Canis lupus familiaris: one gene and its partner. The protein of the gene in region 1 purifies or fractionates together with the protein of each later gene. This does not show direct contact. Links are inferred from orthologs where the notes say so. Each region holds a gene or a part of one and is shown on either strand. Other genes may lie near its edges.

Region 1 (3,804 bases):
AACAGCATAGGCCTCACCTGTCCTGAAATCTTCCCGTACTGTGTCCCTGCTGTTTGGTATAACTGGGGCCACTCCCCGCCCCTCCACCACCGTCCTAAGGACTCGGAGCGTGGGGGTCACCACCCAGTGTAAGGTGACAGAAGCCAGCAGGGAGGGGGTGCCCTTTGCAAGGTCATAAGAACTTTATGGCTTCAGACCAGCTTTTCAGGCCAGCAGGAGCCTGCCGTCTGTGGGGACAACTGGTGGGACTGCATCACCTTGAGGCCACTGCTCTTCCCTTAGGTTTGGGAACGATCTCCATATTTCAAACAAGCTCTTTGTTCTGGATGCTGGCGCTTCGGGCTCTAAGGACATGAAAGTACTTCGAAGTCACCTGCAAGACATTCGGAGCCAGATTGTCTCGGTGAGTGTGCTGGGAGGCTGCAGGCCCACCTTTGCTTAGACCATCTGGTCACCCTGGAGCTGGCCTCTTTGTGCTGTCCTCTTAGGTTAGGTTTGGTTCCCAGGGGTCGTGGTAGGAGGCAGCTGCACGGCCATGTTTGCTGTGGGAGGAGGAAAGAAGGATGAGAATACGGAGGTGGCCTGGAGATGAGGGGGGTTATGGGCATAGGGGCCACATTACAGTGTGTAGGATTCTGACAGCTTTAGTGGCCAGTCTGCAAGTAGCACGGCCTTTTAGAAATCACAGAACCTGGGACACCTGGGTGGCTCAGTGGTTGAGCGTCTGCCTTTGGCTCACGTCATGATGCCAGGGTCCTGGGGTCAAGTCCCACATCAGGCTCCCTACAGGGAGCCTACTTCTCCCTCTGCTTATGTCTCTGCCTCTCTCTGTGTCTCTCATGAATAAATAAATAAAATCTAAAAAACAAAACAAAAAAACAAATCGCAGAACCTACCCAGAAGTGACTTATTGTGAAATAGTGAGACAATGCAGAGGAGCACCTGCATGGCTCAGTCAGGTTAAGTGCCTTATCTTGGCTTCAGCTCAGATCTTGATCTCATGAGTCGTGAGATGTAGCCCTGAGTCAGGCTCCACACTCAGTCTGGAGTCTGCTTGAGGATCCTCTCCTTCTGCCCTGCCCCTCAGTTTTGTGCATGCACTTGCACTCTCTCTTTCTCTCAGATAATAAGTTTAAAAAAAAAAAAAAGAAAATGCAGAAAAATAGAAGAACCATCACCAGCAAAATTTATTGAAGGACATAAAATAATAGATGCACAAATGGATGACACTGGGCTCTTGGGCAGCAAGATCTTATTCAATGTTTGGTTTTCCCATATTGTGTAAGCTTGGTACAGTCCTAGCATGCATCTCCTGAGAGTGAGACAATTGGGTTGGGTATTTTACCTTAAAATTTCAGTGGAAGTATAAATAAAATCTATTATAAAGGCTGTGCAATTAATAAATCCAAAATCAGCAACTGAATAAGTGGAATAAATTAGTGTAGAAATAATCCAACATCTATAGAAACTTACTAGAAAACAGAGATTGAAATTTTGAGGAAAATATCTCATCATTGATCTGACACAACTGCTGTTAGTCTAGAATGAAACGAGATTGAATTCTACTTACTGTGAATTCCAAAAATAAATTCTAGGTTGATAAAAACTTTTAAATGTCAAAAAGAAAAAAGCCCACAATATCTTGAATGTCTTTTTAAAATAATGTGGTACTGCCTTGGAAAAATCTTTCAAGCAATATAGAGAACCCTAGAAGTCTTCAAAGATAGCATACCTATCTGACAACATAAAAGCTGGCATTTCTTTTCTGACAAATGAATTCCATGAACGAAGTTAAACGGTGAAATAGACTAGAAAAAATATTCTCTGTGCCTCTGACCCGTAAAAGGTTGCTAATCTATGATACTCAGTAAGTTCTCCCAAGCTGATGGGAAAGGGGTTAGCATTCCAAGGGCACAATGCTCCCTGGAAAGTTCCTGCTGCCCCGGCCTGGGTGTGAATGCAGAGCATGTGTCCCAGCCCTGGTGGTGGGTGGCCTCTCTCCAGGGAAAGCTTACTGCTTCCATGCTGGGAGGTGCTCCCGTGCACACCACCAGACTCCAGCCACGTGTGCTTTAGGAATCTTGAGGAAGACTCAGGGCCCTCCGGAAGCCTGGCCCTCACCCCAGTCAGTGGGGAGTCGTGTAGGGGCACTCAGAGGAACCCGGTCACAGAAACCAGGGGTGGTGATCGGGAACGTGGTCTGTGAAGGACCCCAGCACCTCCCCACCAGGGGGCAGTAGGGCCTCTGCCCTGGGCTCCGGGGAGTCCCTGGAGAGTTTTGAACCAGGGCCTGGTGACATTGTTTGCTTCACAACCCCCACCCTCAGCTCCTGAGGCCAAGCAGGTGGAACCCATCACACAGACTGCCTGTTTCCCTGGGAATTTTATTTTATGAATAGGGAGTGGGATTTAGCTGACTCTCTCCTCCTGGGGCACCTGGTGCTTCACTGCGATTCCTGCAGCCCCTGGATGCTGGGATGCTGCTTGACATAAAGGTAGAATTCGAGAAGGGACTGCCTGATAAATGATGCAGGGCAGTGTATGGCAGGTGTTTTTAATTAGGATGGTGTGCGGATTATAGGAGTCTGTCATACACATGATTTATTTAATCAAATTGAAAGATTAAAAACCTATTTCAAGGGGAAAAGAGGGGATGAGCAAAATGGGTGAAGGGAGTCTGGGAGATGCAACCTTCCAGTCACGGAATGAATAAATCACAGGAATAAAAGACACAGCATAGGGCATGGAGTCAGTCGTATTGTAATAGTGTGTGGTGAGGGAGGTACTACTCTGGTGTGCTGAGCCCAGCGCCACCTACGACTTGTCCAGTCCCTGTGTCACGCACCTGAAACTCATGTAACATTGCATATGGACTATAGTCAAATAAAAATTTTTAACAATTTGTTTAAATAATTTAAGAAAAAAATATATTTCAAGCCCATTACCAAGAATTGGTCTAATTTAAATTGTACTTTTCACAATGGTCTCACAGATACCTAATTTGCTGATAAAAACCCACTCCAGTATTGCTAATGATAGTTACTCTCTTTTCCTCTCCCTTTGCTCATAAAGTGATCATGTTCCAGCTAAAGGAGTCACTCCAGGGGAGGGACGGAGGAACGGAGAGAGCAGAGCATTAGGGGCTAAGGAGCACTGTAATGGAGTCTGTACAGTCCACAAGGATTGTTGTGAAGCCTCCCCACTCTTCTCCATTAGCAGCAGCAATGAAAGCATCTATACCATTTTATGCTTATAAATGGATTTTGCTTAGAGGCAACACTATAAAGAAAAGAACTGGCCCAGGGTACCCAAAACCTCACTAACTCGTCCCAAGTATTTCTTGCAACAGTGCAGAAAAGAGCGCCGTCCTTTCTACCTGGGCTTTTCCTGGGGAGTCCCTGTCGGCTGCATGTTGATGTGTCCTGCCCTGCACGTTCTAGGTTTGCCCCCCGATGACCCACCTGTGTGAGAAGATCATCTCCACGCTGCCTTCCTGGAGGAAGCTCAACGGGCCCAACCAGCTCATGTCTCTGCAGCAGTTTGTGTACGATGTGCAAGACCAGCTGAACCCCCTGGCTAGAGAGGGAGACCTCCGGCGCATAGCCCAGCAGCTTCACAGTGCTGGCGAGGTAGGGACTGGGGCCTGGCTGGGATAGTGGCGTTGGGGATGTTTTTCTGTCCCCAATCCGAAGGTGCTTTGGGGCTAGAGAGGCAGAGTGGAAATAGCCCCAGGACCCATAATCTATCCAGACACGTGGCTGTCACACAGAAGCCCAGGTGATCTTCTGACCTGCAGTCTCTGCT
Region 2 (4,592 bases), on another chromosome or scaffold:
TCTGATCCTCAAGATTCCTGTTACCCGGTAGGGTCAATAGTTGCCTCCCTCAAGCCCCAAGGGGAAGTTTCTTGAGGGCCAGACAAACAAATGAGTGAGGTTACCTTTGTGAATCCATCCAATAGGGCTGGTGCTTAGTAACCACTAGAAAAACTGTAGCACTTTATTACTTCTTCTGTCCTGCCCAGCATAGAGCAAGTACACACCAGTTCCGCAAAGTTGTGCTGTGCAAAGGGTTCAAAGGGACAAGATGGCAGGATCATCCAGCCGTGGGCACTTCAGGGAAACCCCGGCCTCGGAGCCTGCTGCTGTGGACACCAGGCCGGGACTTCCCCAAACCGGAAGAAGACAAGGGAGCTGGGGAACTGGGGCCTTTGGCTATAATCTGGGCCAGGTGTGGGTGTTTCCTCCCATGGGATCAGGTCCTGTGTCATGCCTGGTATTTGAGGCCCTGCAAAGTCTAAGCATCTCAGTTATCCCCTCATGACCTCAGTCTCCACGAGGTGAGGCGGGCTATGGGCTATTCTCTGTCGGTGCTAATGTCCTGCGTCAACACCTTTCCAGCGGTGCCTCCCCCATCACAGCCTGGGGAACCTCTCCCTCTGCCTCTGAGCCCTCCCTGTGGCTTTATTCTCCAAACTTCACTTTTTTTTTTTCCTAAGATGTTATGTATTTATTTGTGAGAGACACAGAGAGAGAGGCAGAGACATAGGCAGAGGAGAGGTGGGCCCCCTGAGGGAGCCTGATGTGGGACTCCATCTCACGACCCCAGGATCATGACCTGAGCCAAAGGCCGATGCTCAACCACTGAGCCACCCAGGTGCCCTCCAAACTTCACCATTTTACAGAAGGGGAAGCAGAGGGTCCATGACTTGAGGTGCCCGGTAAAGTCCAGCCCCAAACCCTGGTCTAGGTGATTCCAGCAGGTTCGAGTCCCACACTGCCAAGCCCCCAGCCTAACCCGGCGTACACAGGATGGGCCTAAGGTGATTACTGCCCTGCGGGCCCAGAGGCCCCACACCCGCACCTCAAGCTTTGGATGGTGGCAAGAAGGAACGCCAGCTTTCCTTGTACCCCCGACTCTCACCCGAGACAGGGCGGGGAGGACAGAGAGAAGTGAGGGGCCCTCCCCGCCGGCTTCTGCTTTCTGGCCTGGCTGCGGCGGGCGCCGCCCGAGTCAGCTGGCTGGTGGGCGGGAGCCTGAGAGGAGGGGGCACCAGGGGCAGGGCCGAGGCGTGGAGAGTGGGGGGGCGGACCCCGCCCCGGGCTAGCGGGAGGCGGCCCGGCTGCGCAGTTCCGACCCCCCGGGGCAGCGGGGGGGGGGGGGGGAGCGACGTGCCCGGGCTCGGAACCGGGCTTGGGGGAGCTGCATGACCCTTGGCCGCCCCCCAGAGCGGTCCGCGGCCGCGTGGAGACCCTCGCGTCTCTCTGCCTCCCTGCGTCTCTCGGTCTCTGAAGCCGCCACCTAGTCTCGGCTCCCGGTGCTGTGACCCCAGCCTCACATGACCGGGCGGCCCCGGCGGCCCGGAAGGGTCAAGGTCGGCCCCGCGGCCCGGCAGGTGGGGGGAGGGAAGCGCCCCCACGGCCGCGTGACTGCGGGCCCGGCAGCCGGCGCGAGCGGGGATGGGGGTCAGGTGGGCGTGGGCCCTAGGCGGGCCGGGGGACCCCAGAGTCGCCCGCCGCAGCCCCAGGGGCGTGGGCACCGGGAGGCGGGTCCGGCCTGGGGGCTGGGCCACCGCCGGGTTAAAGGCGGCTCCCGCCCGGGCCGCCGCTCCTCCCGCCTCCGCGTCCTCGCCCCGCGGTGATGGCTCTGTGGTCGCTCCTGCCGTGCCCGCCGCCGCCGCTGCTGCTGCTGCTGCTGCTGCTGCTGGGGGTCCCCGCGGCGGCACGGGGGTCCCCGCGGAAAGTCCTCTCCGAGGGGGCGGCCGCCTGCAAGGTAGGGACGGCCTCGCGGCGGGAGGGCCAGCGGGGACCGGCGCGCCCGGGCTGCGGGCTGCGGGCTGCGGGCTGCGGGCTGCGGGCTGCGGGCTGCGGGCGGGACGCTGCTCAGGCTCCCCGGACTCTGCCGGAAAGCCTGGGGTTCGGGGCCCGGGGAGGGGGGCGCTGCCCCGGTCGGTTCCGAGTCCCCCCCGCGCTGCCGGCGCTCGGAGTGCTTTCACTTCCCCATCCCGCGTCTGTCCCCGACCGCGGCCCGGGGGTGCACGGAGCTCCTGCTGTGTACCCCTGGGCGGCGGAGGGAAGCCCAGAGGAGTCGGCGCGTGGCACCCACACTCCAGGTGCTGCTTACGGGGCGCCCTTCGGCGGGGGGAGAGCTCGCGCATTTCTGGTGCGGAGCAAGCGGATGTCTGGGAGCCGAGCGCCTGCTCCCCGCTGCACAGACCCTGGCGGGCCTGCCGCCGGCCGCTGAAACCGGAAGTCAGCACGTATTAGGCGCCGCCTCAGCAGGAGAGCCTGGGAGGGGTTCACCTGCGCCCCCTGAGAGGCAGATTAGTAACGGGTTAGCCCAAGTGTAGGGCCTTGCGCAGCCCGGGGCCAAGGCTCTGGGGGTGAAGTGGCAACAGATGAGCATACATTAGTCTCCTGGGGTATACACCCCTGTCAGAGAAGGCAGGATTGACAGCAGCGACCAGAAGTGTCCATGCATTGAGTCCTTACTGCATACACTTCCCCTGGGCCAAGGGTTTCACCTCAACTGAGGGAAAGCAAGAGCTGTTCATAAATTAAGTGCCTACTGTTTGCAAGTCTTTGTCACATCCGTTTTTGCAGAAAAACTGAGATTTAGGAAGATTTAGGGATGCAGTGAAGCCCTGGAGTCAAGATTCCACCTGACAATGTCTGAAAGGACTGCAATATGGAGCACCTACTGTTTGTAGCTGCAAGAGAACCAAACAGGGCTATCCTCCCTACAAACCCCTCCCTTCCTCCCTCCCGCACAGGTTGGGGACCTATGCCTGCAGGAGCCCCTCAGGAAGTCAGAAGCACCACTTGTCAATGTGAGCGTCTACTACGAGGCACTGTGTCCCGGGTGCCGGGCCTTCCTGGTCCGAGAACTCTTCCCGACCTGGCTGATGGTCCTGGAGATCCTCAATGTCACGCTGGTGCCCTATGGAAATGCCCATGTATGTTGGCACTGGGGAACCAAGGCACTAAGCCAGGGAAGGGGCACCTGGTGGGCCAGCCAGCACTCACCTACCTGCTTTGCAGGAACAAAATGTCAGCGGCAGGTGGGAGTTCACATGTCAGCACGGTGAGCAGGAATGCAAGCTTAACAAGGTGGAGGTGAGCAGACCCCTGAGTATTCGAGTGGTGGGGGCACAGAGGCTGGGGAGATGCCCATTGTAAGGAAGGCAAAAGCAAGGCTCAGAAGGGATTGGAACCAGTTCCATCCTCTGCCTGTCTGCCTCTTTAATCACATCTTCATTCACCGCTTCATTAGTGAACACCTGTGTTACTCCCAGAGTGGTCCAGGGGTGCTCTGGGCCCACTTCAATCCCTCACCTCTCCACCCCCTATCCCACAGGCCTGCCTGTGGGACAAGCTAGATAAAAATTTGGCCATCCTGATCATTGTCTGCATAGAGGAAATGGATGACATGGAGGAAAATCTGAAACCGGTGAGCAACACCCCTCACTTGGCCCCGGGCTGGGAGACCCTGGTCTTCCCTGTCTCCAAACAGACCCAAGTTCAAGTCTTGGCCTGACTACCACTCTCTGTGTAGCCCCAGGAAAACAGCCTTCCCTCTGGAAGCCTCAAATCTCTAAAACAAGGGAACAAATATCTTTTGGGGGCATGGGTAGATCAAGGAGGGCTTCCTGGAGGAGGTGCCTCTGAACTGAGCTTGGATGAACAAAAATGTGCAGAGACACAGATGATGATCCTCATCTCGAGTATGGGGATGACAGGACAGGCCCGCATACTTCTCTGGAGGATTATGAAAAACAACTCCCAATGGAGTGACTCATTGATGCCAATAAGTTTATTCACTCATCAAACATCTGGACCACCCAAAAGGCTCACCCTGGGACACCCCCAGCTCTGCAGAGTCATAGTGGGGCCAGAGGAGTGCAGAGGAGGGAGCACTCAGAAGATTCTGGGGAAGTGGAAGGGTGTTCCTGGTGGGGGGGAACAGCACAAACAGAAGCCCTGAGAAAAATGAGATACTGCAGTGGTCCGGGGCTGCGGGTCTGGTCTTATGAGAGGGAGGAGCAGCCTGAGCCCCTGCCTTGGGGGCCTCCACTCAGGTAAGTGTTAAGTACGTGCTGTTTGTGGACATTGTTGCATTGCTGTGGACCCAAATGTCTCCTGTGGCCAGTGAGGAACAAGCTTGGCTTGGGGGGACTGGAGGAGGGACCGTTGGGGAGATAACTCGGAGGAAGCTGAGGCAATGCTCCTACTCACCAGCAACCCTTGTCCACCCTCAGTGCATGGAGATCTATGCCCCAACAATGTCCCCAGACACCATCATGGAGTGTGCAGTGGGGGACCGTGGCATGCAGCTCTTGCACATTAATGCCCAGCTTACAGATGCTCTGCAGCCGCCCCACGAATATGTGCCCTGGGTCGTCGTCAATGGGGTAAGAGCTCTTGTAGCC

Evidence for each region.
Region 2: the proteins of DAPK1 (region 1) and IFI30 purify together in Homo sapiens (affinity purification with mass spectrometry; 3 studies listed by BioGRID and IntAct, counting the BioPlex papers as one, with this or other methods). This does not show direct contact. The link is inferred for Canis lupus familiaris from reciprocal best matches to the Homo sapiens genes DAPK1 and IFI30.

What each region holds. Positions count from the first base shown.
Region 1 is NC_049222.1:72,870,486-72,874,289, reverse strand, and holds part of DAPK1 (death-associated protein kinase 1), read left to right. Parts: intron 1-282; coding exon 283-403; intron 404-3,440; coding exon 3,441-3,629; intron 3,630-3,804. UniProt on the Homo sapiens protein: Calcium/calmodulin-dependent serine/threonine kinase involved in multiple cellular signaling pathways that trigger cell survival, apoptosis, and autophagy.
Region 2 is NC_049241.1:45,228,945-45,233,536, reverse strand, and holds the start of IFI30 (gamma-interferon-inducible lysosomal thiol reductase), read left to right. Parts: upstream 1-1,762; 5' UTR 1,763-1,804; coding exon 1,805-1,936; intron 1,937-2,936; coding exon 2,937-3,119; intron 3,120-3,204; coding exon 3,205-3,279; intron 3,280-3,520; coding exon 3,521-3,613; intron 3,614-4,421; coding exon 4,422-4,574; intron 4,575-4,592. UniProt on the Homo sapiens protein: Lysosomal thiol reductase that can reduce protein disulfide bonds. May facilitate the complete unfolding of proteins destined for lysosomal degradation. Plays an important role in antigen processing.